3 linked regions of the Callithrix jacchus genome follow. The protein of the gene in region 1 binds, or shares a complex with, the protein of each later gene. Links are inferred from orthologs where the notes say so. Each region holds a gene or a part of one and is shown in the gene's direction. Other genes may lie near its edges. The genes, in order: NFS1, FDX2 and LYRM4.

Region 1 (10,612 bases):
GTTCAAGTGATTCTCCTGCCTCAGCCTCCCAAGTAGCTGAGATTACAGGTGCCTGTCACCATGCCCAGCTAATTTTTGTATTTTCAGTAGATCCGGGCTTTCCTCATGTTGGCCAGGCTGGTCTTGAACTCATGACCTCAGGTGATCTGCCCACCTAGGCCTCCCAAAGTGCTGGGATTACAGGTGTGAGCCACTGCACCCAGGCTTATCCTGTTAATTGTAAACTAATTTTGTTTAGTATTGTTTCAGGTATGTATATATATAGGTATGTAAAAAATAGTACATACATATGAATTTTTTTTTTTTTGAAATGGAGTCTTGCTCTGTCACCCAGGCTGGCGTGCAGTAGCACAATCTCTGCTCATTGCAACCTCTGCATCCCAGGTTCAAGTGATTCTCCTGTCTCAGCCTCCCGAGCTGCTGGGATTACAGGTGCCAAACACCACCCCTGGCTAATTTTTGTATTTTTAGTATTGACATGGTTTCATCATGTTGGCCAGGCTGGTCTCGAACTCCTGACCTTAAGTGATCCCCTTGCCTTGGCCTCCCGAAGTGCTGAGATTGCAGGTGTGAACCATTGCTCCTGGCCCCCTTTTGTTTTTTTTCATTTTTCGTTTTTTTGAGACAGGGTCTTGCTGTCACCCCGGCTGAAGTGCAGTGGCGAGATCTCAGCTCACCACGCCCTTGACCTCCTGGGATCAGGTGATCCTCCTGAGTAGCTGGGACTACAGATGTGTACCACTATGCCCAGCTAATCTTTTTCTTTTTTTTTAAGTAGAGATGAAGTCTCACTACATTACCCAGGCTGGTCTCGAAATCCTGAGCTCAAGCGATCCTCCTGCTTTAGCCTCCCAAAGTGGTGGGATTATAGGCATGAGCCACCACCACCGCATCCAGCCCTTTTTTTCCTTCCTTTTTTTTTTTTGAGATGGAATCTCGCTCTGTTGCCCAGGCTGGACTGCAATGGCACGGTCTTGGCTCACTGCAACCTCTGTCTCCTGGGTTCAAGTGATTCTCCTGCCTTAGCCTCCTGAGTAGCTGGGACTACAGGCACTTGCTATTGTGGCTGCCTAAGTTTTGTATTTTTAGAGAGAGGGGGTTTCCCCATGTTGACCAGGTTGGTCTCAAATTCTTGGCCTTAGACGATTCACCCAACTTGGCCTCCCAAAGTACCGGGATTACTGGCATGAGCCACTACACCTGGACCCTTTTTTTTTTTTGCTTAAATGAGATGAATGGTTCTTTATTTTCTTGTAATAGTTGAAAATCCAGGAATTTTTAAACGTACCTTTATTGTTTCTTCTGATATTAAAAGTAACACCTGGGCTGGGCGCGGTAGCTCACACCTATAATCCCAGCACTTTGGGAGGCCGAGGCGGGTGGATCACGAGGTCAAGAGATTGAGACCATCCTGGTCAACAAGGTGAAACCCTGTTTCTACTAAAAATACAAAAATTAGCTGGGCATGGTGGTGCACGCCTGTAGTCCCAGCTACTCCGGAGGCTGAAGCAGGAGAATTGCTGGAACCCAGGAGGCAGAGGTTGCTGTGAGCCGAGATCGTGCCATTGCACTCCAGTCTGGGTAACAACAGCGAAACTCCGTCTCGAAAAAAAAAAGTAACACCTACTCATGACTTGTTTACTGTTATATGGCTGGTACCTAGAAAATCACTTGGTGGGCCGGGCGCAGTGGCTCACACCTGTAATCCCAGCACTTTGGTGGGAGTCTGAGGCAGGTGGATCACGAGGTCAGGAGATCGAGACCATCCTGGTCAACATGGTGAAACCCCGTCTCTACTAAAAATGTAAAAATTAGCTGGGCATGGTGGTGCACGCTTGTAGACCCAGCTACTCTGGGCGCTGAGGCAGAAGAATTGCTTGAACCCAGCAAGCAGAGGTTGTGGTGAGCCAAGATCGCGCCATTGTGCTCCAGGCTGGGTAACAAGAGCGAAACTCTGTCTCAAAAAAAAAAAAGGAAAATCACTTGGTGGCCACGCGCAGTGGCTCATGCCTGTAATCCCAGTACTTTAGGAGGCTGAGGCAGGTAGATCACAAGGTCGGGAGATCGAGACCAGCCTGGCCGATATGGTGAAACACCATCTCTACTAAAAACAAAAATTAGCGGGGCATGATGGTGGGCGCCTGTAGTCCCAGTACTCAGGAGGCTCACGCAAGAGAATTGCTTGAACCCAGGAGGCGGAGGTTGTTGCAGTGAGCCAGGATAGTGCTACTTCACTCAAGCCTGGCTACAGAGCAAGACTTTGTTTTTTGTTTTGTTTTGTTTTTCAAGAAAATTACTTGTCATATTATAGGTGCTAAATACTGGTTCAATGAATGAAACATAAATCTTCCAGTAATATAGGGTAGAACTCTCTAAAAACATAATCACTGTTAATTTGCTGTATTTTTCTCCAGATTTTTAAATACCTATATTAATCCGTATACTATTATTATTTCAGTAGACTTTATTTTTTATAGCCGTTTTAGGTTCACAGCAAAATTGAAAGGAAGGTACAGAAACTTCCCATATATGCCCTGCCCTCAGGCATGCATAGCCTTCTGCCATTATTAGTATCCTCCATCAAGTGATACATTTGTTCCAGTTGGTGAACTGATATTGATACACCATTATCATTATCACCCAAAGTTCATAGCTTACATAAAGATTCACTGGTGTTGTACATTCTATGGGTTTGTACAAATATTAGTTATTCTAATAAATTATTTAACTTGAGGGGCGTTCAGGAAGCCCTGAATTTGTAGTTGGCTGGGCAGAGTATGGGTAGCTCAAGAGACCTGGGACTTACTTCTGGCATCTGAACTAGGGGCAGTCCTGTGTGATTTGCCCTTAACCCATGGGGTTTTCACTAAGTCTGGGGAGTTAGCCTCAGAATTGAATTATATGATACTCAGTTGGTATGAGAGAACTGGTGTTGGAGCGTACTGTTCTTGCCCACTTTTCCTTTACAAATGAGATCAAAGTCATTGCTGTCTCTCTGAGTATGTTCTCCTTCCATCTATCCCCACCACCAATTTCTAGGGAGTGGCCCGGTTCTACAGATCACGGAAAAAGCACTTGATCACCACCCAGACAGAACACAAATGTGTCTTGGACTCCTGCCGTTCACTGGAAGCTGAGGGCTTTCAGGTCACCTACCTCCCAGTGCAGAAGAGTGGGATCATTGACCTGAAGGTAGGAGTGGCTATTGGCATGAGGAGCAATAATGGAGGAGCCTGGCTTCAGCTTGTAAATTTCTCTCTTGGGCTCTAACTGGAGCTTGAAGGACTAGATCTAACATTTAGGGTGAGGTTTAGAGAAATAGGCCTGGCATAGAAAGAGATCATGTTCCCCTTGAGTGTATACTGTCCTTTTCTCTGGAGGATTTGTTTCTTTTGTTTTTTTTACTTTTCTTTTCTTTTTTTTTTTTTTTGAGATGGAGTCTTGCTCTCTTGCCCAGGCTAGAATGCTGTGGTCTGATCTCAACTCACTGCAACCTCTGGAGGAGGACTTGTTTCTTTCTTTCTTTCTTTTTTTTTTTGAGACAGAGTTTTGCTCTTGTCACCCAGGCTGGAATGCAGTGGCATGATCTAGGCTTACTGCAACCTCCGCCTCATGGGTTCTAGCGATTCTTCTGCCTCAGTCCCCCAAGTAGCTGGGATTATAGGTGCCTGCCACCAGGCCCAGCTAATTTTTGTATTTTTAGTAGAGATGAGGTTTCACCATGTTGGTCAGGCTGGTCTCGAACTTCTGATCTCAGATGATCTGCCTATCTTGGCCTCCCAAAGTGCTGGGATTACAGGAATGAGCCACTGTGCCTGGCCTGGAAGACATGTTTCTTACCATTGTTGGTGTTTTCTGGTTTGTATGAGAGCCATTGGCCACATATGCAGGATGCCAGGGACTCAAATTCACCATGGCAAAGCTCTGGCCTCCTCCTTCCCTGCACTGATGCTTCTCATCCTGCTAAAGAAGTGGTATCATTTTCTTGAATCTTATCCACCAGATTTTGTATATCAGCATCCCTAGACAAATCTTAACATGCTGTTTGTAGATGGACCCCTCAATTTAAACTCTAAATTGTTATCATTCATTATTTCCTCCCTTTTTTGTCTTTTTCACATTCATTCATCAATCACTCACACTCATATCTATGGCCATTTTCTTATAATGTCACTGGAATTATACTTTCCCTTCTCTGACTCCTGCCCTCCCTTCCTCCCTCCCTCCCTTCCTTCTTCCCTCCCTCCCTTCCTTCCTCCCTGCTTCTTTTCCTCCCTTCTTCCCTTTTGCCCTCCCTCCCTCACTCTTTCTCTCTTTCTGTCTCCTTTTCTTTTCTTTTTTTTGGAGACAGGGTCTTGCTGTGTTATCCAGGCTAGAGTGCAATGGTATGGTCATAGCTCACTGCAGCCTCAGACTCCTGGGCTCACCTCACCTGGCTAAATTTTTGTTTTTGTTTCGTTTTTTGATGGAGTATTGCTCCGTCACCCAAGCTGGAATGCAGTGGCAAAATCCCAGCTCACTGAAACCTCTGCCTCCTGGATTCAAACCATCCTCCCACCTTAGTCTCCCAAGTAGCTAGGACTACAGGTGTATGCTACCACACCCAGCTAATTTTTTTGTATTTTTAGTAGAGAAGGGGTTTTATCGTTTTGGCCTGGCTGGTCTCAAACTCTTGACCTCAAGTGATTCACCCGCCTTGGCCCCCCAAAGTGCTGGGATTACAGGCATGAACCACCGTGCCTAGCCTGGCTAAATTTTTAAGCATTTTTTATAGATGCAGCATCTCATTATGTCCTCCAGGCTGGTAGTGAACTCCTGGACTCAAGCGATCCTCCTACCTTGGCCTCCAAAAGCACTGCAATTACAGATGTGAGCCACCTTGCTCAGCCTCTTCTCACTTCTTTGACTGGATTATATCCTGTGTCTTAGCTACCTCTGGACTTTAATCTCTGTTGCCTGAAGTAGCCCTTTAGTTACAACCTTCCAGCGTGTCCTGCACATCCTTATCAGACTTTATTTCCAAAGTACTCATTTGACCTTTTCTCACTTTACTCAGAAATCTTGAGAGATTTCTCATTTCCTTTGGCATGAAGCATAATTTCATTTTGCCTGACATTCAGATTTCTTTACTTGGTGCTTTTTTTAAGCCCTTAGAAATTTGTGATATAATTCATGTACCATTTAACTTCCAGTTTAATGGAAAAATTAATAATACACGTACCACAAAATTCATCTTTTGAAATTGTATGATTCACTATTTTTTAATGTACAATTCACAGAGTTTGCAACAGTCATCTCTGTCATATTCCAGGACATTTTCCTCACTTCAAAAAAGAAAGCTATGTATTTTTTCTTTTGTCATTTGCGGGGTTTTTGTTTTTTAGATGGAGTTTCTCTCTTGTTGCCTAGGCTGGAGTGCCATAGTGTGATCTCTGCTCCCTGCAACCTCTGCCCCCTGCGTTCAAGCAATTCTCCTGCACTAGCCTCCCAAGTAGCTGGGATTACAGGCATGCACCAACACACCTGGCTTATTTTGTATGTTTAGTAGGGACGGAGTTTCGTCATGTTGGCCAGGCTGGTCTCAAACTTTTGACCTCATGATCTGCCCACCTTAGCCTTCCAAAGTGCTGGGATTACAGTCATGAGCCACTGCACCTGGCCAATTTTTATATTTTTAGTAGAGAAGGTGTTTCACCATGTTGGCCAGGCTGGTCTTAATTCCTGACCTCAGGTGATCTGCCCACCTTGGCCTCCGGAAGTGTTGGGATTACAGGCGTGAGCTACCACACCTGGCAGTTTCTTTAATTTTGTCATTCATACTGTCATGTAAATGGAATCATACAGTATGCAGTCTTGTAGGATTGGCTTTTTTCTTTTTCTTTTTTTTTTTTTTTGAGATAGAATATCACTCTATCACCCAGGCTGTTGGGCAGTGGTGCGATCTTAGCTCACTGCACCTCTGCCTCCCAGGTTCAAGCAATTCTCCCCAAGTAGCTAGGATTACAGGTACGTACCACCACGCCCAGCTAATTTTTGCACTTTTAGTAGAGGCAGGGTTTCACCATGCTGGCCACGCTGGTCTTGAACTCCTGACCTCAGGTGATCCTCCCATCTGGGCCTCCCAAAGTGCTGGGATTACAGGCGTGAGCCACCATATCCACCCTTCCTTTTCTTTTTTTTTTTTTTGAGGTGGAGTCTCGCTCTGTTGCCTAGGCTGGATTGCATTGGTGCAATCTCAGCTCACTGCAACCTCCCCCTCCCCGGTTCAAGCATTTCTCCTGCCTCAGGCTCCCAGGTAGCTGGGACTATCGCACCATGCCCAGCTAATTTTTATATTTTTAGTAGAGACAGGGTTTCTCATGTTAGCCAGGCTGGTCTTGAACTTCTGACCTCAGGTGATCCACCCACCTCAGCCTCCCAAAGTGCTGGGATTACAGGCGTGAGCCACCACTCCTGGCCTCGACTGGCTTTTTTCACTAATCATAAGTCTTTGGGAATTCATTCATTGCTGCATGTGCCAGTAGTTTGTGCCTTTTGATTGGTAAGCAGTAGTCCATGTTATGGATATACCAAAATCATCTATTGAAGGACATCTGAGTAGTTTCTGGGTTTTGGCTATTATGAATAAAGTTACTGTGAACATTTGTGTAAGATGTTTTGTGAATTTAATTTTTATTTCTCTGGGATAAATACTCAAATGTGCAGTTACCGGGTTGTATGGTAATTTCATGTTTAGTTTGATGAGAAACAGAAACTGTCAAACTCTTTTTAAAGTGGCTGTGACATACATTCCCACCAACAATGTATGAATCATTCAGAGTCTATGCATCCTCACCAACATTCTGTGTTGTCACTGTTTTTAGTTAACTATTCAGATAGCTCGTTAGCATAAAGCTCCTTTTCACGACTAAGCTTGCCTATATTCTGATTTAGGAGGACTTTGTTTGCACTATCTAGTCACCTTACTCCTACATATCCTTAGGAACTAGAGGCTGCTATCCAGCCAGATACTAGTCTGGTCTCAATCATGACTGTGAACAATGAGATTGGAGTGAAGCAGCCTATTGCAGAAATAGGTGAGTATCATGGGTTAACCCTGATCCCTGCCCACCATGGTGGTCTGTATGAGGTAGTAGACTGATAACTGTAATACTCTATGGAGTGAAGTTAGGAAATCAAGGGAAAGAGAGTCTAAGTACTTTGTTCAAGGACAATGTAAGTGGCGTAGCCAGTATTTGAATTCAGGTCTAGTACCTTTTTTTTTTTTAAATTGAGACAGAGTGTCACTCTGTCACCCAGGCTGGAGTGCAGTGGCATGATATTTGCTCACTGCAACGCCTGCCTCCTGGGCTCAAGCAATCCTCCCACCTCAATCTCTCAAGTAGCTGAGACTACCAGGTATGCATCGCCATGCCTAGCTAACTTTTGTACTTTTAGTAGAAACGAGGTTTTAGCATGTTGGCCAGGCTGGTCTCAAACTCCTAACCTCAGATGATCCACCTGCCTTGGCCTCCTAAAGTGCCGAGAGTACAGGCATGAACCACTGTGCCCAGGCAGGTCTAGTATTTTTTATGATTTTTCCTTTTATTGCAGTTGCTTCCAAAACCAACCACAAAACAAAAAAAGGCTTCTACCCTTTTTCCTTTTAGAACATCTCTTTATTATTCCCAGATAGAGCTCACCCTGTAATCTCCTTAGGCACATTAGCACAAAGAGCTGTTAGTTTTTTGTTTGTTTGTTTGTTTGTTTTTTAAAATCAAAAGGGATCTGGAAGAAAATCTGACATTTTGAAAGGCTGGTGTAAATGACGTGGTAAGTTTTAAGTATAGTATGCATGATAATATCAGGAGTATTTTGACCTGCTGCTTTGCCCTTCATCTTTTTTATTCTAAAGAAGGGAAGCTGGGGAGACTGAGAGAGGGAGGAAGGGAGAAGGGAGAGGAGGTAAGGAAAAGAAGTATAAGGGGTTAGGTGGAAGGAGGGGAGGAGTTTAATATTGACGGAGGTCATTTACTGCTGGTGGAGATAATTCACAGTGCATTGTGGGATACTGATACATTACTTCCCAACACTTTGCTGTGGGTCTTCCCCTCTGTTGTTTCCTCAGGGCAGATTTGCAGTTCCAGAAAGGTATATTTCCATACTGATGCAGCCCAGGCTGTTGGAAAAATCCCACTTGATGTCAACGACATGAAAATTGATCTCATGAGCATCAGTGGTCACAAAATCTATGGTCCCAAAGGTACCAGCCCCTTCTTGAGTTCCTCTTCTCTGTACTTTCCAGCAAGACATTTGATAGATGTTTGTCAGAGTCATTTGGGACTACTGTTGGTCTCAGAGGAAGTTGTACATTCAGAGTCCCTTCTAGAATGCAAGTGTCAATTAGCAATAGCCAGAAACGCTTGCTGGTTTGTAGACCTTGGTAGTTACTATACGGCAGGCCATTCTTTTTTTTTTTTGAGACCGAGTCTCACTCTGTCACCAGGCTGGAGTGCAGTGATGCGATCTCTGCTCACTGCAAACTCTGCTCCCGGTTCAAGTGATTCTTCTGCCTCAGCCTCCCAAGTAACTGGGACTACATGCATGTGCCAACATGCTCTGCAAATTTTTGTATTTTTAGCAGAGATAGGGTTTCACCATGTTGGCCAGGATGGTCTTGATCTCTTGACCTCGTGATCCGCCCACCTTGGCTTCCCAAAGTGTTGGTATTACAGGCGTGAGCCACTGTGTCCAGGCAACAGCAGGCCATTCTTTATTGCTCTCTTTAACAAATCCTTACGGAGTCTTGCTCTTGTTCCCCAGGCTGTAGTGCAGTGACGCCATCTCTGCTTACTACAAACTCTGCCTCCCGGGTTCCAGCGATTCTCCTGCCTCAGCCTCCCAAGTAGCTGGGATTACAGGCACCTGCCAGTATGCCTGGCTAATTTTTGTATATTTAGTAGAGACCAGGGTTTCACCACGTTGGCCAGGCTGTCTCAAACTGCTGACCTCGTGATCTGCCTGCCACAGCCTCCCAAAGTGCTGGGATTACAGGCATGAGCCACTGCACCTGGCTCAAGCATGTAGATCTTAATTTGATTGAGGAAAAGGGGGTTTTGTGAAATGAAATTTATCTAGTTGGGCCCAGCTATCTTGTTTGCCCCACTATGATGTACAGAGCAACTATGTGAGTCCTTTATTCCGAGTGTCTTGCTATAGCTTAGGGGAAGATTGCATGGGATTTCACATTCCTTTGTGTTTATTCTTAGAAGACTTTGTAGTCTGTTATCCTAATATTCTCTCAAGGATACCTGTTTGAATTTGGGAACTGTATGAACTCAGATAGTAAAATGGAGAAATGAAATAATTTTTTTTTTGAGACAGAGTCTCACTCTGTCTCCCAGGCTGGAGTGCAGTAGCATAATCTTGGCTCACTGCAACCTCTGCCTCCTAGGTTCAAGCTATTCTCCTGCCTCAGCCTCCTGAGTAGCTGGGACTGCAGGTGTTCGCCACCATGCCCGGCTAATTTTTTGTATTTTCAGTAGAGACAGGGTTTCACTGTGTTAACCAGAACCTTATTTTATTCATTTATTTTATTTATTTATTTTGAGACGGAGTCTCACTCTGTTGCCGAGGCTGGGAGTGCAGTGGCGTGATCTCAGCTCACTGCAACCTCTGCCTCCCAGGTTCAAGCAATTCTCCTGGTTCAGCCTCCTGAGTAGCTGCTACTACAGGTGCTTGCCACCATGACTGGCTAATTTTTTTTTTTTTCCCGAGTCGGAGTTTCGCTCTTGTTACCCAGGCTGGAGTGCAATGGCGCGATCTCGGCTCACCGCAACCTCCGCCTCCTGGGTTCAGGCAATTCTCCTGCTTCAGCCTCCTGAGTAGCTGGAATTACAGGCACGCACCACCATGCCCAGCTAATTTTTTGTATTTTTAGTAGAGACGGAGTTTCACCATGTTGACCAGGATGGTCTCGATCTCTTGACCTCGTGATCCACCCGCCTCAGCCTCCCAAAGTGCTGGGATTACAGGCTTGAGCCACCGCGCCTGGCCCTGCACCCAGCTTTTAATTTAAAATCTGGTGTCCTTCGTAATAAATTTGGAAAGCACTGCCTTAATTTTTATAGTACCTCTATTCTCGGCATAAACAGGTTTTCTGTGTAGAAGAACTGTCAAATGCCCATTCTATTCAGAAACCCTGATTACTTAGTGAATAACTTTGCATGCTCATGCTCATATTTTGGCACAGATTTTCCATAAGTCGGCTTGTTTGGTCACAGGTTACACACATTTTCAGCTTTTTTATTTTTTGAGTGAAGGTTTCACTCTGTTACCTAACCAGGAATGCGGTGAGTGGTACAATCACAGCTCACTGCAGCCTTACCTCCTAGGCTCAAGTGATCCTCCTGCCTCTGTCTCCAGAGTTGCTGGGACTATAAGTACATGCCACCGTGCCCAGCTAATTTTTAATTTTCCTTTGTAGACACAGGGTCTTACTGTGTTGCTTAGGCTGGTCTCAAACTTCTGGTCTTAAGTGATTCTTGGCTTCCCAAAGTCCTAGAATTATAGTCCTGAGCCACCACGCCCCACCAGTTTTTTGTTTTTTGTTTTCTTTTGACACGGAGTTTCA
Region 2 (10,001 bases), on another chromosome or scaffold:
AGGGGCCCCGGCCTGCTCTCCCCTCCCCTCCCCTCACCTCCTCTGCTGTGCCCGTCTCTCTGGAGCCCTCCTGCTTCCGTTGCTCCTGTAATTTTGGCCTTTTGAGTGCCTTGGAGGTTTCCCTCACCTCCCGTGAGGATACAGAGGCTGTCTCCTTTTTTTAACTTTGACAGCTGACTTCTGCTTCCTTTTCTAATTTTTATTCTTCAACCCCCAGCTCTGATTCTTTCAAGGTCCGGCCTGTCCGGGCCACCATTCCACACTTCACGGTTCAAAACAGCTCTTTTTCCCACATCTGCTGCAGGCATGCTGTCTCCTGTCCCTGCCTGCCCATCTGGCCTGTACCCCAGCCCGGGGGTCCCTGCCACAACCCCCTCCCCTTCTGATGCCTTAAAAGCTGGGCCCCAGGCCCTGCTGGCCAGAGCCACAGATGTGGAGCTCTGGGAGCTTGACTATGGACCAAACAGCCCTGGCCTAGGTATCGGGCCACCCTACCCAAGATCTCCACCCTGGGGATAGTAGAAGGCCAAAGCCTTCATCTTGCTGAACCAGCCCCATCACCCCTTCCTGCCTGGGACTCGGTGCAGAGATGGGCTTTCTCTGCCAGTCCCCCTTACGTCTGTCTGTGGGAGTCGGGCATTGTATCCATCTCCCGGAGCCTCTGCTGTCACCCCCTTGTTGAAGATGAATTCTTGAAATCTGCCTGCCTGCCACAGGCCAGAGCCCTGAAGCTGGCCTCCTTTCAGCCCAGTGCCAGAAACCAGCACTCCATGCAGATAAGCTCTGGGTCTGTCCACCAGCAGGACCTGTCAACCTGAGGTGACCCTGGGCCCTGCCGCAGGCCAACTGGGCCACCAGCTTCCCTCCCCTGATTCTGGTGACCCACATCCACTCCATGGGGATTTTTCCCCCCCAACCCCAATCTCCCCACATGGACCTTTGCTGAATTAAAGTTTGTAAGTAAATGGTTTTAAAGAAATCAAAGCTGGCTGGTTCTTGGAACAAACAGTGGGTTTGAGTGGGAGGTTTGGGATGGCCCCGCAGAATTACCTGCATTGGATCTCACCCTGCTCTTCCCTTATGGTGACCGCAGGCATTAAGCAAACAAACATCTGCGCTTAAATTCTGGTAATTAGAAGTACTTCGCTCGCGTTTCCGGTAGGGCGCATGCTCAGTTGCCGTGTCACGTGATGCATGTCATGGCCGCCTCCATGGCCCGGGGCGGCGTGAGAGCCAGGGTTCTGCAGGCTGCCAGAGGCACCTGGTGGAATAGACCTGGAGGCACTTCGGGGTCCGGGGATGCGGTGGCTTCGGTAACAGTCAGAAAGTTTCAGGCGACAGGTACTTGGGGCGTCCGGAGCGGGTGGCATTAACCCAATTAGATGCCGGCGGGGCGGGGCTCGGTGCAGCCGCTCACCCAACCGTGTTTTCCAGGCTCGCGCCAGGCTGGAGAGGAGGCGGGCGGCCCCGAGCGGCCCGGGGACGTGTGAGTGCAGGGGGCCAAGTCCCTCATTCTTCATTCCACGAAACTCCTCCGGTCCCCATCTTGCCCTGTAGCTTCATCTCGAGGTCCCCCTTCTGCTTCGCCCTATTCAGTCCCTGTCCGTCAAGCCTCAACCCCGACTTCCTAACTCTAGATTCTACCCAGGCCCTGAGTCCATCATCCAGCTCGGCATTTGCACCTCCATCTGTCCCCAGGGTGAACGTGGTGTTCGTAGACCGCTCAGGCCAGCGAATCCCAGTGAGCGGCAGAGTCGGGGACAATGTTCTCCACCTGGCCCAGCGCCACGGGGTGGACCTGGAAGGTAGGAACCGGGCACGGGGAATTAAGGAGGTCTTTATCCATTTGTCCAAAAAACACACAAATCCGGTGTGTCTCTTCATGGCTTTTCCGACCAAATATGGACTAAAATGCAAACCTCTCACTGCGGCCTCATCCGTTGCCCATCCCCTCCCTCCCCTCCCTCCCTCTCTCCCTCCTTCCCTCCTTCCCTCCTTCCCTTCCTTCCCTCCTTCCTTCCTCCTCCTTTCCTTCGGTCTCACTCTGTCGCCCAGGCTGGAGTGCAACGGCACGATCTGAGCTCACTGCAACCTCCGCCTCTGCATGGAGTGCTGGTTTCTGGCACTGGGCTGAAAGGAGGCCAGCTCCAGGGCTCTGGCCTGGGGCAAGCAGGCAGATTTCAAGAATTCATCTTCAACAAGGGGGTGACAGCAGAGGCTCTGGGAGTTCAAACGATCCTCCTGCCTCAGCCTCCTGAGGAGCCCGGCTCTTATTTATTAAGCATTTATTAGGCCTCCCAAAGAGCAGGGATTACTAGGACACCTCCCTGGAATTTGTTTTCTCTTGCCCCTGCCTTCCTGTATTCTAGCTACATTGACTTTATTTTTCTTGGTTTTTTTTTGTTATTGTTGTTTTGAGATGGCATTGGAGTGTAGTGGCTCACAGCACCTCAGCTCACTACAACCTCCACCTCCCAGGTTAAGCGATTCTCCTGCCTCAGCCTCCCGAGTAGCTGGGATTACAGGCAGCCACCACCAAACCCCACTAATTTTTGTACTTTTAGTAGAGCTGGGGTTTTACCATGTTGGCCAGGCTGGTCTCAAACTCCTGACAGGTGATCTACCCGCCTTGGCCTCCCAAAGTGCAGGGATTACAGGGATGAGCTACCCGGCCCCCACTGGCTTTCTTATAGTTCAAACAGCCAAGCTCATTCCTGCCTCAGGGCCTTTGCATTTGCTGTTCCTTCTGTCTGAAGTGCTTTCCCAGCAAACATTCTGGCTCTTTCTCATCCTTTAGACCTCAGTGTAAATGCCATGTCCCTAACAATCCCATTCCCCTCAGCCCAGCTGAAGAACCCATGCCCCCCTAGTCACTCTGTCTTAACAGTGTGATATGATATATAGCACCTCTCACTTTTTTTTTTTTTTTTTTTTTTTGAGATGGATTCCTGCTCTGTCACCAAGGCTGGAGTGCAGTGGTGCGATCTTGGCTCACTACAACCTATGCCTCTTGGGTTCAAGCAATTCTGTCTCAGCCTCTCAGGTAGCTGGGACTATAGGCACACACTACCACGCCCAGCTGATTTTTGTATTTTTAGTAGAGATGAGGTGTTGGCCAGGCGTGGTGGCTCACACCTGTAATCCCAGCACTTTGGGAGGCTGAGGCAGGCGGATCACAAGGTCAAAAGGTCGAGACCACCCTGGCCAACATGATGAAACCCTGTCTCTACTAAAAATACAAAAATTAGCTAGGTGTGGTGGCACGTACCTGTAGTCCCAGCTACTCGGCAGGCTGAGGTGGAAGAATTGCTTGAACCCAAGAGGCAGAGGTTGCAGTGAGCCGAGATTGCACCACTGCACTCCAGCCTGGTGACAGAGCAAGACTCCATCTCAAAAAAAAAAAAGAGAGACTAGGTGTCACCACATTGGCCAGGATGGTCTAAATCTCTTTACCTGCCCACCTCGACCTCCCAAAGTGTTGGGATTACAGGCATGAGCCACCTCACCCAGCCAACTTTTTTTCTCTTTTTAAGAGACAGAGCCTTTGGGAGGCTGAGGCAGGGGAATCACTTGAACTTGGAAGGCGAAGGTTGCAGTGAGCCAAGATTGCGCCACTGCATTCCAGCCTGGCAACAGAGTGAGACTCTATCTCCAAAAAAAAAAAGAGAGAGAGTCAGAGCCTTGCTGTGTCACCAAGGCTCACTGCAGCCTTGAACTCCTGGGTTCAAGCGATCCTCCCAAGTAGTTGGGATTACAGGCACAAGCCACAATGCCAGGTTGTTTTCTTTCCTTCTTTGTCATCTGTCCCCTAGTGAGACCAGAGACCCATGTTCTTGTTCATGCTTATCTGTAGCCTGTCAGGATGTAACAGGTGTTTGATCATTCACTGAGAGAAGAATAATAATAAAAATGTATTGCCCAGGCACAGTGGCTCATGCCTGTAATCCCCATACTCTGGGACACCAAGGCAGGTGACTCACTTGTCAGGCGTTCAAGACCAGCCCGGCCAACATGGCGAAACCCTGTTTCTACGAAAAACACAAAAATTAGCTGGGCTTGGTGTCACATGCATATAATCCCAGCTACTCAGGAGGCTGAGGCACAGAGTCACTTGAACTTGGGAGGCAGAGGTTGCAGTGAGCCAAGATGGCAGCACTGCACTCCAGGCTGGACGACAGAGCGAGACTGTCTCAAAAAAATATATATGTGTTTCTTTAAGCATGTTAATGCATATTCACTGATTGAATCTTCATGACAACTTTATTCAGTAGTAGAGACTGCTGTTCCATATTATAGATGAGGAAACTAAACCCCAGGTTAAGTAGAGCTGGTCTAAGGTTAAGTGAATGACAATACTAGATTCACCCGCCCATTTTAGCCACGAATCTGCGCTGCCTTTCTACGAATACCTACTAGGCGTCAGGCAGCAATACACAAAACAAATAAGGCCTCTGTCATCTCACACCAATTTCAGCCTAATAGGGACAAAAATCCCATAGGTAAATATAGAATTATGTCATGAGCAACTTGGGAAGGGTTGTCTGGAAGACAATATACAGGGTTTGCTTTTAGGGTGAATATATCAGGGACCTTTGTTTTATCATTAAAGGGAAGATATGCTGGGGGAGGAAAGGCCTACCTAAAGTCCTGTTCTGGAGTCCAGTGGCCTGCAGTCTAGGACAGAGATTGGAATGTGAGGTTGACTGATTGGTCGATTTGAGACAGAGTCTTGCTCTGTCCCCCAGGCTGGAGTACAATGGCATAATATGGGCTCACTGCATCCTCCACCTCCTGGGTTCAAGTGATTCTCCTGCCTTAGCCTTCCAAGCAGCTGGGATTACAGGCGCCCGCCACCACAGCTGGCTAATATTTTTTGTTGTTTTAATAGAGACAGGGTTTTGCCATGTTGGCTAGGCAGGTCTCAAACTCCTGACCTCAGGTAATCTGCCTGCCTCAGCCTCCCAAAGTGTTGGGATTACAGGCATGAACCACCATGCCCGGCCAGAATGTGAGTTTTGGAGGTAAATGGCCTGCCTAGGCACGAATTACTCATGCCTGTAATTCCAGCACTTTGGGAGGCGGAGATGTTCAGATCACCTGAGGTCAAGACCAGGCTGGTCAAAATGGTGAAATCCTGTCTCTACTAAAAATACAAGTATTAGCTGGACGTAGTGGCGCACGCCTGTAATTGCAGCTTGGGAGGCTGAAGCAGGACAATCACTTGGGCTGGGAAAGCAGAGGTTGCGGCGAGCTGAGATTACACCACTGAACTCCAGCCTAGCTGACAGAGTGAGACTCTGTCTCAAAAAAAAAAAAAAAGAGGTAAGTGGCTTGTGTTCCAAGTTTGCCTCTTACCAGATACATAACCCCGAGAAAGGGACTTAGCTTCTCTGGGCCTCTGTTTCCTCGTCTATACAATTGGATAATTTAATTCCGATCTCACTGGGTTGCTGTGAAGATTCAACAGTGTTTGGTGGTTTTTAGTGGCTGGCATGAAGCCAGTGTGAAGTGAGTGAGTGGCTGGAATGACTAGATTAGATTATCTCAATCTCATGTGATGAGGATGCTAACGAGGTGGGTAATGGGGCTGACGAGACATGCAGGGACTGACTGGAGTTTCAAGGTCCAGGCAGTTTCTCTCCAAGCGATAGAGACGGGGCAGATTGGTCACAGAGCCCCATCGGTGACGGTTGAAGCAAACAGGGAGGCGAAGCCAGGTCAGGAGGCTGCCATCCAGATCCACCCTCGTGGTCTGACAAGTCTAGAAAGGGGAGAAAAATTCTTAGTTTAACGTCTTCCTGTGCACTGAGGACAAATGTTGTTTTCTTTTTCTTCTTTTTTTTTTTTTGAGTGTGTGTTTTTTTAATTTAAGCTCTCCCTCTATTTCCCAGACTGGAGTGCAGTGGCACAATCAAGATTTACAGCCTCGAACTCCCAGGATCAAGCAATCCTGCTGCCTCAGCCTCCCAAGTAGCTGGGACCACAGGCATGCACCACCATGACCAGCTAATTTTTTTGTAGAGACAGGACCTCCTAGTGTTGCCCAGGCTGGTCTTGAACTCCTGGCCTCGAACTCATGATCTCAAGTGTGATCTTCCTGTCTCAGCCTCCCAAAGTGCTGGGATTGTAGTCATGAGCTACCATGCCCAACTGATAAATGCTGCTTTTTGTTGCCGTGAGACAGGGTCCCTGTGCTGCCTGGGCAGGGGTGCAGTGGTGTAAACATGGCTTACTGCAGCCTCGACCTTCCCAGGCTCTGCCACGTAGCTGGAACTACAGGCGCATGCCACAACGCCTGGGATTAGCAAGATGCTAATTATTTTGTATTTTTTGTAGAGACGGGGTTTCAATATATGGCCCAGGCTGATCTCAAGTTCCTGGGCTCAAGCGATCCATCCATCTGGGCCTCCCAAAGTGCTGGGATGACAGGCGTGGGTTTGGATGACAGGCACCCAGCCTGACACATGTTCCTTGCGCATCTGTAACATGCCAGGCTGAGTGCAGACAGAGAAGGGCAGGTTGATGGGGAGCAGGTCAAGCCAGAGAGGAAGACGGTTACTTCTGACTGATAAATACAGAAAGTAAAAGGGAGAGGGACAAGACACGGGAGATGTGGGAATCAGGGGACAGGTGAGTGGAGTCCCTGAAGACAAGAAGGGTCCAGCCAAGGAAAGAGCCAGGTGTGGTGGTGGGCGCCTGTGGTCTCTACTTCTCAGGAGACTGAGGCAGGAAGATTGCTTGAGAGATGGAGGCCAGCCTGGGCAACGTAGTGAGACCCTATCCCAAAAAAAAAAAAACTGAAACAGGCCAGGATCAAAGCCTGTAAGCCCAGCACTTTGGGAAGCTGAGGTAGGCAGATCATGTAAAGTCAGGAGTTCAAGAGCAGCCTGGACAACATGGTGAAACCCCATCTCTACTAAAAACACAAAACAATCAGCCAGGTAGGGTGGTGGGCTGTAATCCTAGCTACTCAGGAGACTGAGGCAAGAGAATTGCTTGAACCCAGGAGGTGAAGGTTGCAGTGAGCTGAGATCACGCCACTGCACTCCAACCTGGGTGATAGAGCATGACTCCCTCTCAAAAATTCACACACAAAAACCGGAAACAAAAAGTAGAAAGGAAGGTACTCCAGGCCAGGGATACAGTCAGTGCAAAGGCCCTGTGGTGGGGTGAGCTTGGTGGGTTCCAGTTGCATCAAGGAGTAAGTTGTACAGTTCATGCAAAGCAGGAAGACAGAAAAAGCCAAACAGGGTGGGGTGCGGTGGCTCATGCCTGTAATCCCAGCGCTTTGGGAGGCCAAGGCGGGCAGATCACCTGAGGTCAGGAACTCGAGACCAGCCTGGCTAACATGGTGAAACCCCGTCTGTACTAGAAAATACAAAAATTAGCTGGTCGTAGTGGTGGGAGTCTGTAATCCCGGCTATGTGGGAGGCTGAGGCAGGATAATCGCTTGAACCCAGGAGGTGAAGGTTGCAGTGAGCTGAGATCACGCCACTCTACTCCAGCCTGGGTAACAGTGAGATTCTGTCTCAAAAACAACAACAACAGAACAAAAAAACTTCAAAAGGTAAAAAAGAAAAGGAATGAATGAGGGAGATGGGGGAAATGAAGGACTAAGTGGAGGAGTTTGGATTTGATTCTGGGTTTGAAAACCTTTTGGAAGGTTTTAGGCCAGGAGGGACATGATCCCCAGGCACGGGTCTCTATGATCAGAGGATGTGGGGGGTGTGACCAAGAGCAGGTGGTTAGCAGAAAACCTCAGGTTCTGTCTCTTTCAACCCTAATTCCTGGCCACGTGCAGTGACATATACCTGTAGTCCCAGCATTTTGGGAAGCCAAGGCAGACAGATTCATGAGCTTAGGAGTTTGAGACAAGCCTGGGCAACATGGTGAACCTCATCTCTTTAAAAAAAAAAAAAAGGGCTGGGCATGGAGGCTCAGCTCACACCTGTAATCTCAACACTTTGGGAGGGTGAGATGGGTGGATCGCCTGAGGTCAGGAGCTTTCGACCAGCCTGGCCAACATGGTGAAACCCTATCTCTAATAAAAATACAAAATTAGCTGGTTGTGGTGGTACATGCCTGTAATCCCAGCTACTTGGGAGGCTGAGGCACGGGAATAGTTAGAACCTGGGAGGAGGAGGTTGCAGTGAGCCGAGATCGCACCATTGCATTATAGCCTCGGCAACCAGAGTGAAACTCAATCTCAAAAAAAAACAAAACAAACATGGACTGCAAGTCCATATAAAAAAAAATTAGCCAGGCATGGTGGCGTGGTGTCCACCTGTAGTCCCAGCTACTCAGGAGGCTGGGGTGGGAGAATTGCTTGAGCTGGGAGATTGAGGCAGTAAGCGGTGATGGAGCCAAAGCACCCCAGCCTGGGCAATAGAGTGAGACCCTGTCTCAAAAAAAGTGCTAATCCCTGACTCCTTCCCCCACCACACTGACTGCTGAGTCAGCTGGTCCATCCTCCAAGAGTAGCCAAGAGGTGGGGACACATTTGCCCAGCACAGTGATAGGGTCATAGCCAGGGCTCACAGGCTGCTGGGAGCCTGCCTGGCCTTCCCCTCTCAGCTCTGGCAGCCAAGTCCATGCTCCTTAATGGTTCTGCATCGCAGCCTCCTGGGGAGTCCCTTTGTAAACCCTATACAAAGCTGGGGAACGGCTAGCTGTGAGGCTGCAGACCCGGGAGGGAGACACGTGGTGGAAGAGAGGGCTTCTCTTTGCCCTTCACTCCACAGAGCAGCCCCCTCCTGACTGTGCCACTCACCTACACCCCCTTCGCTTCCCGCCCTTAGGGGCCTGCGAAGCCTCCCTGGCTTGCTCCACCTGCCATGTGTATGTGAGTGAAGACCACCTGGATCTCCTGCCTCCTCCCGAGGAGAGGTGAGTAGGGCAGCCCTGCCTGGCTGGAAGCTGCAGCTTAGACTTCTGGACAGCCCCCACTGTCCTCCCCACTTCCAGCCCCCACCCCGCCCCACAACCAGCATGCCCTCGGCTAACACTGCCCGTGTCACCACCCCAGGGAAGACGACATGCTAGACATGGCCCCCCTCCTCCAGGAGAACTCACGGCTGGGTTGCCAGATCGTGCTAACGCGGGAGCTGGAAGGAGCGGAATTCACCCTGCCCAAGATCACCAGGAACTTCTACGTGGACGGCCATGTTCCCAAGCCCCATTGACATGGGTGCCTGGACCTTTCCACATTGCCAAGGCCCCAGGGCCCAAACCGAGGGAATAGCCACGTGCCAGCCCCGCCCAGAGCTCGGACAGGCCTGGGAGAGATGTGGAAGCCCCCGAGAAGGACAGCACCCCTGCTTGGGAGAGGTGCCCATGTCCAGGCTCTGGTGGGGACAGGGCGCCTTGTTGGGTGGCCTTCCCCAAGCCCCTGAGAATCGGTGTGAATAGGAGTGGACTCAGATTGGAGCTGCAATAAATCAGTATCACAGGCCCCAGCATGTTGAGTGTCCTTAGGGGACAGATCTGGGGTCTACACATGGCTCACACCTGTAATCCCAGCACTTTGGGAGGCCAAGGCGGGAGGTTCACTTGAGGCCAGGAGCTTAAGACCATCCAGGACAAAATGGCGAGACCCTGTCTCTATAAAAAAGTAAAAATGGGCATGGAGTGGTGGTAAGTGCTTGTGGTCCCAGCTACTCGGGAGATTGAGGTGGGAGGATCACTTAAGCCCAGGAGATTTAGGCTGCAGTGGAGCAGTGATCAGGCCATTGCACTCCAGCTTGGGTGACAGAGTGAGGCTCTGTCTCAAAACAAAAACACACACCTTCATCTGCTGTGCTGGGACCCGGGCTCTCCTCTCTCTGGGATCGGAGATCCCACTGGGGATCTGAGGCAGAGGCCTGGGAGCCCCCATTGCCGGGGGGGAGGGCCAGCGTGGAAGGCCCCGCCCCCGCAGTTGCGGAGGGATTTGGTGGGGTCCAGGCCGCTCTTGGCACGCAGGGGTGCGCAGATGACCTGAAGTCAGAAAAAGGAAAGGCGCC
Region 3 (11,242 bases), on another chromosome or scaffold:
GAAAACGGGATCCATGTTTGATTTCTACATCATCCTCAAGTTATCATTGCGAGAACAGAAACTTGAACTACCAGGCTGCCGGCTATCTTTTGAATGCACAAATAAAATTTCACTGCCTCTCAAATATAGGATTCAAATTCATGATCTGAAACAAAAGGCTATCCATACCTGAATAAATAGTTTCCATTTCAACAGCTCAGCTGTTAAGCTATACTTATATGACTCAGCCAATGCATAATGGAAGAAATGATTTATTCCAGAAATAGGAAAAACATCACTAAAATAAAGTTAGTGCAGGGCTAACCACTTCTGCGGTCCCTCCCTTCCCACCTCCTACCATCCTAAAACACTTAGAGTTCTCTAAATAGATCAAGCACCCTTCTGCCTCCATGCTTGGAATATACAATACAATCTTTAACCACATTCCTCATCTGGCTCTTACTATTCATTCTAGAAACACCTATGATGGAAAGCCTTCCCTTAGGTGAAAGTCCTAGTTCAATATTCCTCTTCTGTATTCCTTTAGTATTTGCTAAATTATTGCTCTTATCACAGCAACTGTCAAAAAGAAATTATTGGCCAAGTGCCACGGCTCACACTTTATAGTTATAAGCTGAACTCTTTGGGAGGCCAAGGCAGGAAATGCACTGAGGGGTTTGAGACCATACTGGACATCATAGTGAAATCTTATCTCTACCAAAAAAAAAAAAAAAAGTTTTCTAATTTGCCAGACATGGTAGCATGAGCCTATAGACCTAGCTACTTGGGAGGCTGAGGCAGGAAAATCACTTCAGGAGTTTGAAGTTTAAATGAGCTATGATCATACCCCTGCACTCCAGCTTAGGAAGCAGAGCGAGAACCTGTCTCTATAAATTATTGTTTGGTTTATCTAATCACCTACAGGTTTCTTAGGGGTGGGGAGGCTCTCATCACTGTAACTATGTCATCTTATAGTTTTGTCCTCATATGTTATGGTACTTATTGGCCAGGCACCGTGGCTCACACCTATAATCCCCACACTTTAGGAGGCCAAAGCAGGTGGATCCCCTGAGGTCAGGAGTTCGAGTCCAGCCTGGCTAACATGGTGAAACTCCATCTCTACTAAAAATACAAAAAATTAGCCAGGCATGGTTGTGTATACCCGTGATCCCAGCCACTTGGGAGGCTGAGGAAGAAGAATCGCTTGAACCCGGGAGGTAGAGATTGCAGTGAGCTGAGATTGCGCCATTGCACTCCAGCCTGGGCAACAAGAGTGAAACTCCGTCTCAAAAAAAAAACAAAAAACAAAAAAAAATAATAAATTATGGTACTTACGAAGTCTTCAATAAATGCTGAAGGAAGGAAGGAATGAGGAAGGCTTGAGTTTGTTCATCTATACAAATGAATGAGTTGATATATAAGGTCTTCCCCCTTCATATTCTATTAAAATGAAGGATCAATGTATAATACTTAGATTCATGTCTGGTGTAGGATAGAATAATTTTTTTTCTTTTGGTTTTTTTTTTTTTGGAGAGGGTCTCACTCTGCTGCTCAGGCTATAGTGCAGTACCGTGATTATGGCTCAACACAGCCTCGACCTCCAGGACTCAAGCAATCCTCCCACCTCAGTCTCCTGAGTATCTGGGACTACACGCTGTCTCCTGAGTAGCTGGGACTACAGGCACCTGCCACCACTCCCAGCTAATTTTTGTACTTTTTGTGTAGAGATGAGGTTTGCTATGATGTATTTTTTTGTATAGATGGGGTTTTGCCATGTTGTCCAAGCTGGTCTCAAACTCCTGGGCTCAAGTAATCTACCTGCCTCGGCCTCCCAAAGTGCTAGGATTACAGGTGTACAGCACCATGCCCACCTGAATAATTTCTAAATAATATCATAAGTTACTATTTCTATACAAATTTTACTCCATACATCACTTTGATATTTAAGCTTCAGGACAGTAAATTGTTGTTATGCTGTTTATTATGATTTGAGAAATTTCTCTTCACACAGCACTAGGTGGTCATGGACAACCCTAATTTTAATAGAAGATAATACAAGATTTTACATAAAGAACTATAGTTACTTGATAACTTTGGATAAACGAAAAACGAATACTAAAGAAATTTTTATGTTTTGATTCCTAAATGGTACCTCCTATTGTAGATATTCCCTAAGAAAAATTTCAACCCAGAACAGAATGCATGTTAAGGAACATATGGGTATGGTCCATTCTTCAGCTTCTGGCCCATTCTACTTACAGTCTCAAATAGAGTTACTTTCTTCTTTTTTAAAAACAAAAAAAGGCATCTCCACAATAAAGATATGCAAAAGTGAGATGTAGCTTTTGAATTAATATTTTCTATTAGCCTCTCAAGGCAATGATGTCCATCAAACTGGTAAACCATTTTAAATAAAATAATGAGGTATTTTTGTGAAGACTTGGCTCAGAATTAACTGGGAAGCTATCGCTTTCCTAACTGCAACCATTGCTTGTACTAACAGAGGACAAGGCTACCCAAACTATCTAAACTATACATATTTACTTGGAAGTTTTATTTGATTACCACAAAGTTGAGTCATTTAGATACATTAATTATATACATTAATGATTAAATTCCTTAATAGGTTGAAACAATTGTAACTGGCTTACTGCAACCTCCACCTCCCAGGTCCCTGATTCTCCTCCATTAGCCTCCCAAGTAGCTAGGATTACAGGCACGAGTCACCAGGCCGAGCCAATTTTTGTATTTTTCAGTAGCGTGTTGTACTGGCCCGAGCATAGAAAGTTAACACCAAGACAAAAGTATGCCAAATTGCAGGGTCTTAATTGCCGGCGGTCACGGAGGACTCTCGTCTCTCCAACCCGTGGCCCTGAAAGGAGGGTGTCAAGAACTTTTACGCCTGTAAACCACCTTGGGGGTGAGGGTGAGGGGCTTTAGACATTCCAAGGGCCAGTGGATTCCGTAAATTACCTCTGGGGCGGAGATGAGAGTGAGGGGCTCCGGACATTCCCAGGGCCAGAGGGCTTTGGATATTCCGATTGTGGCTTAAGCGGTTTACAGAAGTCAAGATAAGTGTTAGTTTACACGTTGTCTGGATATGGGTGGAAATTACAGACCTTAGTTACTTATTACAAGTCGCAGGGGCCAAGATGGCGTGGGTTTGGACTGCTTGCCTGTCACATCAGGGTTACAGAGAGCAGTTTCAACACAAAGCCTAGGTATGGTTGAGGTATGCAGCTTTATGGGGCTTTTACCATGTCACAACGACGGGGTTTCACCATGTTGGCCAGTCTGGTCTTGAACTCTTAACCTCATGATCCGCCCGCCTCGGCCTCCCAAAGTGCTGGGATTACAGGCGGGAGCCACTGCGTCCAGCCCTTTTGTTTTTACGTATAAAGGTACTCCTCACTGTGCTTGAATGCAGAAAGGTGTCGTTCTTCCTAAGGTTATGTAAAGCAAGATTCCAAAAATAAGAAAATTGCTTTGCGAACACAGTACTAGAATTGGCTGAGGCTTCCCTGCCTCCAGTCCCATGCTCAAAAATTAGAACAAGCAACTTTATCCACCACTTTAATAAGGTAATTCAAAAAAGTTTAGGTCAAGCCATGGGAGAAAACTTGCTCTGCTTCTTGGAGAATACCTAAACCCCTAAAGGTCTCTAATTATTCTCCGAGGTCTACAGCCAGGCTGCATTTTACAAATTTATTAGTTTACAAAACCACGGGGACACTTCACTCAAAAGCAAATCCACATCAGGAAAGAGGAAAAAAATCCACGGCCAATGTAAACCCCCTACCACACCAACTGCCCACGTCGCACCCCAGGCTGCAACGAGGCCGGCACTCACCCACCGCTCTCCCGGGAAACCCAGACCCAAGTGTTTCAAAATCGGAAGCGTGGCAGGCTAGTTCGCTCTCAGGGCAAGAATCTTAAACCCCAACTGAAGAGACACCCCTGTACGCTGGGCACCGCCATTTTGACAGAAAGCGGGCCTGTCCCGCAGGCCCCTATGCAGGTCGCCCTGAGCAGCGCCGGAGTACCACAGAACCCCTGGCTCATCACCTCCACACCCAGACATCGCGCCTCCCAACATAGAGAAGGCCATGAAACCCCATCCAGCCGAGCAGGATCGGGCGAAGTCAAGTCACCCTTGAAATCCCGCAAGGCCTCTCAGGCAGCACTGAGGGCGGCCGCAGCCAGTGGGGGCGGGGAATCGGCGGTCAAGGGCGGGCCTTCGGCGCGGCGGCCTTCGGTAACCCTGGCAACGCAGCCTCCTGGAGGTACTAAGGGCCGCTGCGCCTTGAAACACAAATGTCCCCTCCAAGACCCCGGACGGTTCGCAAAGGCTCTCCGTGGTGCAACTGCAGTTCTCTCGGATGCTCGCGCCTCCGATCTTCGTCCCCCAGGGGCTTGGCTGGATGCCCCGACGGCCAGGCCTCTAGTTTCCCCGCCTTTCAGCCGCTTGGAGCGGCTGCTGGGTCCAGAGCCTCCAGCCGGGGGCTGGGCGGAGCGGAGGCACCTCCCTCCAGGCACCGCCCCCTTAGCTGCCCCGAGGCCTGCCTGTGCCCGCCTTGGAAGAGGCCCGGGATGCCGGGTGCCGTCTGCGGTCCTCAGGGGTGCCCGCCTAGCTGGCAAGGCCGAGCCGCCGCACTTTATTTCGTTCGTAGTTTCTGCACAGGCTGAAGTTCCGTGGGTTGGGCTGGACTTGGGACCTCTCCGAAGAGGACCCGTTTGTTTTTTTCTTTCCAAAATGGCAGCCTCCAGCCGCGCACAAGTGTTAGATCTGTACCGGGCTATGCTGAGAGAAAGCAAGCGTTTCAGCGCCTACAATTACAGGTGACGCGGCGGTCGCCGGGGACCGGGGGCCGGGGGCCGGTGGCCGGGGGCCGGGGGCGCGGGCTGCCGCGGAATGTCCTTGGAACCACCGTCCTGCGCCGGCGGCCGCGAGAAAGGGACCGGGTTCCGCCATAGAAAAGCGTGCTCCTGCCTGCAGGTGTGGCCTCTGAGACCTCGGGGAGGAGCGGAGGGCTTGCTCTTCTTTCTACCAGGGAAGACGTTCACGTCTTATAACGTTTTCCCCCTAAAGTCTACCTTGGTTGGTGCTCTCGGAGCATGATTAGTGTTATGTTTCTGCAGAAGAGAAAAAAAAGATGGAAATCAGCCATTGGTGAAGTTAAGGCCAATATGTTGCATACGTAAAACTTCCCTAGAGCGTGGAAATGGCCAGTGAGTAGCACACAGCTAAAAAGCTTAAGGCACACGCTAGCACCTCCCTAAAGTTTCCCAGGTGTCGTAAAGAGTTCTTTTGGTTGCCAGAATCAAATCCGTTCTATTTAGGGTACGATGGAAAGGCTTAGCGGTAAAGGAAAAAGGACCTCACAGGCTTTGGAGCTGAAACCTCAGTTTATCCTGGCTCACCAGACAGATCCTGCTTATTGACCTTGATAGCAGGACACTGAGGGTCTAAACTCTTACATCTTTAATATAACACATTCACTTTTTTACATGCCTCACCATTCCCCTATTTGCCTATGATTCTTTTTCTGTTGCTGCCCAGGCTGGAGTGCAGCGGCGTAATCTCAGCTCACTGCAACCTCCGCCCCACGGGGTTCAAGTGATTATCCTGCCTCAGTCTCCCGAATAGCTGGGATTACAGGCGCCCGCCACCACGCCTGGCTAATTTTTTGCATTTTTAGTAGAGACGAGATTTCGCCATGTTGGCCAAGCTAGTCTCAAACTCCCAACTCAAGCGACTCACCTGCCTCTGCCTCCCAAAGAGCTGGGATTACAGGCGTGAGCCACCGCGCCCGGCCTGTATGGTTTTTTCTAATTCAGAACCTCTACTTTCACTTTGTTGCTGCTTCTGACCCATCATTTCCTTATGGATTCTCTCTGCATTTTTTTCAGATGTGTTGTTTGGTTTGGTTTGGTTTTGACTAACTGCTACTCCTCTCTGATTTTAAGCCATATTCCCCTGAGAAAAAATCTGACTCGATCAATCATGTCTTTACCCCAAGCCTCACTTAGGTGACTGGCCAGCCTATGGACTGGATGTCATAGGAGCAGAGCCTACCCTTGGAACACACCTGGTTAGGTAGGCTCCCCTCTACCAGGTGTGTGAGTTGGCAGACCGACCTGAACAACCTCTGTCAGAAGAAAGGAACAGTAAGCCTCTTAAGCAGTGACTCTCAAATGTTTAGAAACCTGCTTAGAAAACATGTTCATTCTGCAAATTTGAGAACAGCATCTAGGTCATACCCCTGAAGTCGTATCCACCCAGTTAAGTGGTTAAATTTCACCGGAGAACATGATTTTACTTAATGACTTTGACTTTGGAGAGTAATGAGTGTAATAATAGGCATACTGGTGGAATTTTTAGCAAGATTAAACAAACACCTAGCACCAAGTACTTAACCAAGTCTGTTGAGGGAACACATGAAATATGCACGTTATATACATAGAAACCATTTGATTTCACCATAGTCTGGAGGAAGATACTTTGTTATTTAGACTGAGGATACCTAAGGACTTGGAACCAGCAGGGAGTTCACACACTAAAGAAAATGGCAGGGAGAGGGTCTATGTGAGAGCATGTAGAAAGTCAAGGTGGAACCCTCAAAGACTATAACTTGGACTTGTCACTCAATCTCTGTTTTTCAGAGCTCTTGTTTGTGAAATAGACTGTTGGACTAGACAGTCTCTAAGGACCCTTCTATTTCTGAAATTCTCTTTGGAAGTGATTTATGAGCAAATGAATCCCAATTATTTTCAAATGAGTAGTTGCCAACTGAACAGGAAAATCATTCAAGAAACTCAACAGGAAAATTATTCAGACTGCAGGAAAATCATTCAAGGCTGTACCTGAAAGGCAGAAAATTGAAAATGGCTTTCAGTATGGACAACTGTAAGATGATATACATTCAGAAAATAATTGGTCAAATTATACTTAAACATATAATTTTCAGCTAAATTTACTACCCAAATATAAATGTATTATTCAAAGGAGTCTGGTAATCATTTTATACTGTTGCCTGAGATCATGGACCTAAAAACTTAGGTTTCTGCTACTGTCATCTCCCAAGATAAACTTACTTGTTATAAAATATGTCCTTCTTTTACATTAAGGCTGTGTCTTGTGGATTTCAAGAACAGTCCCTTCCCTCCACTCTAATCTCAGCAGCTATTTGTCACTGATGGCAAATCAATAGCAATACAGCATCCACTGATCAATTCTGTGTGCGACTGCTATCTTATCATCTTCATGTCTATTAACATGTTTATTTTTGACAGTAATCTAGTGAGGTAGGTACTATTTTTATGACCCCGTAGGGCAGCTGAGGCACAGGGAGGTTAAGTCACCTATCAAAAGTAATATAGTTGGGAGGCCGAGGCGGGTGGATCACAAGGTCAAGAGATTGAGACCTTCCTGGTCAACACGGTGAAACCCTGTCTCTACTAAAAATACAAAAAAATTAGCTGGGCATGTTGGCACGTGCCTGTAATCCCAGCTACTCGGGAGGCTGAGGCAGGAGAATTGCCTGATCCCAGGAGGCGGAGGTTGCGGTGAGCCGAGAACACACCATTGCACTCCAGCCTGGGTAACAAGAGCGAAATTCCGTCTGAAAAAAAAAAAAAGTAATAACAGGCAGTGCTGGATAAGCAATCAAAAGTAGACTAGTAAAAATGTTTTAATGACCTGCAAATTGTGGTGCCTAAAGTAATTGGAATAGTGAAATAAATACTTTGGAACGCTCTTGCAAGACATAAAATATAGGCCATGTTTTGATAGCATGAGCCCTGTCTGTTCCTCCAGTCTCAGTCAAGGTCCCACCTATGTATCCTGTCCTCTATCATCATCAGTTGTAGTTTCCTATGTGCCACATCCTCTTGGGCCTCCAGGCCTTTGCCAGTACTGTTCTATCCTGCAGGTCCTTTATTGCTTCTGTCTAGAGTGCCTCCTCTTCATTCAAGACTCAGCTCAGTTGTTACCTTCTTTGAACAAAAGTTTTCCCTACTCTCTTCATCTCATAGTCTCCACTCCCATCCCTCCCTCCACCCAAACAGGTCTCATTGCTGTATGTCATTCTTTTCCCTCAGTGCTTCTACAAAACTTCTCTGAAGCATATTTTGCCCAGTGCTATACCACAGCAGTCCCCTACCTTTTTGGCACCAAGAACCAATTTTGTGAAAGACAATTTTTCCATGGACTGGGTCAAGGGAGGGGATAGTTTTGGGATGAAACAATTCCACCTCAGATCATCAGGCATTAAATTCTCATAATGAGCTCATGTGCGTGCACAGTTAACAATAGGTACTCCTATGAGAATCTAACGCCACTGCTGGTCTGACAGGAGATGGCACTCGGGCCATAATTCTCACCCACTGCTCACCTGTTGTGTGGCTCTGTTCCTAACAGGCCATGGACCCATACCAACCAGTCTGTGGCCCCAAGTTAGGGAGCACTGCTATGCCAGGCCCTGAAGAGAGAAAGATGAGTTTTGAACTAAACTAGGCACCTGCCATCAGTGGCTTTACAAGCCTATGTGGGACACAGGTACAGAGATAGTTGTCACAGACTGGTTTAACTGCTGTGACAGAAGGATGCACAGAGTGTAAAATCTAGAAGGCCTTTCAGCGGGTGACATCAGATCAAAGGTGTGAAGCAGCATGTGTGCTCAGGCAGGCAAACAGCAGAGCAATGCCAGGGAGGTAAGTATGATGCAGGGGGTGACAGGAAGGAACTGAGGTTGGAGAGGGCCACTGATTTGAGGGCCTGGGGGCCATGCTGAGGACCCTGGACTTCACCCTTAGCTCACAGGCAGCCACTAACATGACATGACCAGATTTGCATTTTTGATAGATCACTCTGGCAGCAATGTAGAAGATGATTTTGAGGGACCAAGGACATCAAATGGCTGTTGATTGCAGCTGTGCAGGGTAGAGATTAGGATGCTAGTAAGGACAGGAATAGTGGAAGATAGAGATAAATGTTGTATTTGATGAATCATTAGAAGGGAAACTGTTAGAACTCAAATGACTGGACTGAGGACTAAGGAAGAAGAGAATCTAAGCAGAGCCTAGAATGGCATCCAGGTTTCTGGTTACGCTAAGACAAGGAGAGGGTGAATTTAAACTTGCACCATTAACTAACTTCAGTAATACAGAAATAGCTGGACGTCTGGAGAGAGGGTTTTTTAGCTTATTTTTAGGGTATACTGAGTGCAGATGTCCCCTGGGATTCCCAGCAGAGGTAATCAACAGGGCTCTGAAGCTCAGAAGAGTAATCAGAACCACAATAGTCAGCACCACCAACTCTATGTGACCCTGAGCAAGTCACACCACTCTCTGTTCTGCAGTTTCTTTGTAAGAATCATAACTGATCCATCTCACACAGTGTAAAAATGTCCCAAGACAAATACATTTAAGAACCACGTTCTTTTTTTTTTTTTTTTTTTTTTTTTAGTTGGAGTCTCGCTCTTGTTGCCCAAGATGGAATGCAATGGTGCGATCTCAGCTCACTATAACCTCCACCTCCTGGGTTCAAATGATTCTCCTGCCTCAGCCTCCTGAGTAGCTGAGCCACCTGCCACTACACTCAGCTAATTTTTGTATTTTTAGTAGAGACAGGGTTTCACCATGTTGGCCAGGCTGGTCTTGAACTCCTGCCCTCAGGTGATCTGCCCACCTCGGCCTCCCATAGTGCTGGGATTATAGGTGTGAGCCACTGCACCCAACCAGGAACCGCATTCTTAAACTTTGTCTTCTTGGCTCTTCTTCTTCCACCTCCTTTAATATTGATGTTCCCTAGAGTGGCATTCGTAGCCCACTAATTTTTCTCACCCTAAACTAGGATTTCTTAATGTTGGCATGACCAACCTTGGGCCAGCTAATTCTTTGTTAATGGGGACTGTAGTCAGCGCCACTGCTTAAGTGCGTTAATATACGTCAAGTACTTAGGAAAGTCCCTGATGCTAAATGGGTACTTGATAAGTAGAATTATCATCATAAGTCAAGTTAAAACCTAGATATTAGGTGAATTATTTAGGAATACTATTTAGGTTAGTAGTTCTTATCCTGGGGTGATTTTATTTGACAATATCTGGAGATTTTTGGTTGCCACAACTCGGAAAGGGGGTGCTAAGCGTCTGAGGCCAGGGAGGCACAGGGGACAGCCCCTATTAACAAAGAATTAATTGGCCCAAAAGGTTGGTCACACTAAGACTTAGAAATCCTAATTTAAGGTAAGAAAATTAGTGGGCTATGGATGCTATTCTAGGGAACATCAAAATTGAAGGAGTTGGCGGAAGAAGAGCCAAGAAGACAAAGTTTAAGAATGTGCTTCTTCAGCTTAACTGGTCTTAGGCCTTTTACATTCTTAAATATTGCTGAGGAGCCCAAAAAGCTTTTCTTTCTGTGGGACACATCATATTAGAAATCAAAACCAAAAGCTTGTAAAAACACCTGTTTTTAAGTGACTATTAAGTAACACTTTTATGAAAAATAACCATTTTTTCTCCTCAAAAATTAGCAGATTGATAGTTTGACACTTGTGCAAGTGTCTTTCATGGTTGGCTTACTAGAAGACAACTGGGTGCTTATATTCGTTGCTACCTACAATTTGTTGCTATATCACATGTTACTTAGTGTCTGGCAATTTCCCCTATCTACTCCTAAGAGAATGCAGATGTCTTCCTGGTAACTGTGAAAATAGTTTTACTGGTGGATCCCCTGAAAGGTCTCAGAGACCTCTGCCCTAGTCCCTTGAATAACTACTGTAGGGTTTAAGAAATGGGAGAAGACCAAGTAAAGAGTAGTGTTGCAGAAGCCAAGGTAGTCATATGTTTGGGAAGGTAGCTGTGGTCAGCAGGGTGGCTTGCCTTAGCAAGGTCCAGTTAATAAAGAGGGGAATGTGGTCCGTGGGTTTGGCAGTGTAGAGACCTCTGGTACCATTACCAGAACAGCATTGTTAATAAAGTGCTTATGGCAGAACCCAGCTTGTGGGGGTTGAGACATGAATCAGAAGTTGCTACTGTTGAATATCGACACCCCTTCCACCTCCCACTGGAGTCTTGGTTCAAAACCATAAGAGTAGATAACCGCTAGAGCAGGACCCCATGAGAGGTGAAAAGTGGTACATGAGAGCACAGCTGGTGGGGTTGGTCTTGGACAGAGGAACAGCATTTCGTTTTACATGAGTGGAATGAAGGAGAAGAGGGTAAGTTGGAATACGAGAGGGTGGAAATTTGACTTGGTTTTTACC

The links.
Region 2: the proteins of NFS1 (region 1) and FDX2 are in contact, whole or in part, in a cryo-EM structure (PDB 8RMC), measured with the Homo sapiens proteins. The link is inferred for Callithrix jacchus from reciprocal best matches to the Homo sapiens genes NFS1 and FDX2. Residues at the interface, in NP_066923.3 of Homo sapiens: Gln153, Lys157, Leu160, Asp161, Arg164, Ala168, Tyr175, Ala384, Ser385, Leu386, Glu387, Pro388, Tyr390, Arg393, Gln456, His457; in NP_001384335.1 of Homo sapiens: Ala104, Cys105, Glu106, Ala110, Cys111, Pro141, Leu142, Ile169, Thr170, Arg171, Asn172, Phe173, Tyr174, Val175, Asp176, His178, Lys181.
Region 3: the proteins of NFS1 (region 1) and LYRM4 are in contact, whole or in part, in a crystal structure (PDB 6W1D), measured with the Homo sapiens proteins. The link is inferred for Callithrix jacchus from reciprocal best matches to the Homo sapiens genes NFS1 and LYRM4. Residues at the interface, in NP_066923.3 of Homo sapiens: Leu56, Arg57, Pro58, Leu59, Pro68, Leu69, Pro71, Arg72, Leu74, Asp75, Leu78, Glu314, Tyr317, Arg321, Asp372, Arg412, Phe413, Thr414, Thr415, Glu417, Glu418, Tyr421; in NP_065141.3 of Homo sapiens: Phe23, Tyr26, Asn27, Tyr28, Thr30, Tyr31, Arg34, Arg35, Asp38, Val65, Arg68, Gln69, Ile72, Thr78, Asp79, Lys80, Leu81, Ile82, Ile83, Asn85.

The regions. Positions count from the first base shown.
Region 1 is NC_133506.1:3,590,996-3,601,607, forward strand, and holds part of NFS1 (cysteine desulfurase), read left to right. Parts: intron 1-3,039; coding exon 3,040-3,192; intron 3,193-6,982; coding exon 6,983-7,076; intron 7,077-8,107; coding exon 8,108-8,242; intron 8,243-10,612.
Region 2 is NC_133523.1:9,497,763-9,507,763, reverse strand, and holds FDX2 (ferredoxin-2, mitochondrial), read left to right. Parts: upstream 1-1,173; 5' UTR 1,174-1,190; coding exon 1,191-1,341; intron 1,342-1,434; coding exon 1,435-1,486; intron 1,487-1,698; coding exon 1,699-1,805; intron 1,806-8,798; coding exon 8,799-8,886; intron 8,887-9,023; exon of another isoform or gene 9,024-9,025; coding exon 9,026-9,182; 3' UTR 9,183-9,451; downstream 9,452-10,001. UniProt on the Homo sapiens protein: Electron donor, of the core iron-sulfur cluster (ISC) assembly complex, that acts to reduce the persulfide into sulfide during [2Fe-2S] clusters assembly on the scaffolding protein ISCU.
Region 3 is NC_133505.1:25,186,153-25,197,394, forward strand, and holds the start of LYRM4 (LYR motif-containing protein 4), read left to right. Parts: upstream 1-4,533; 5' UTR 4,534-4,732; coding exon 4,733-4,818; intron 4,819-11,242.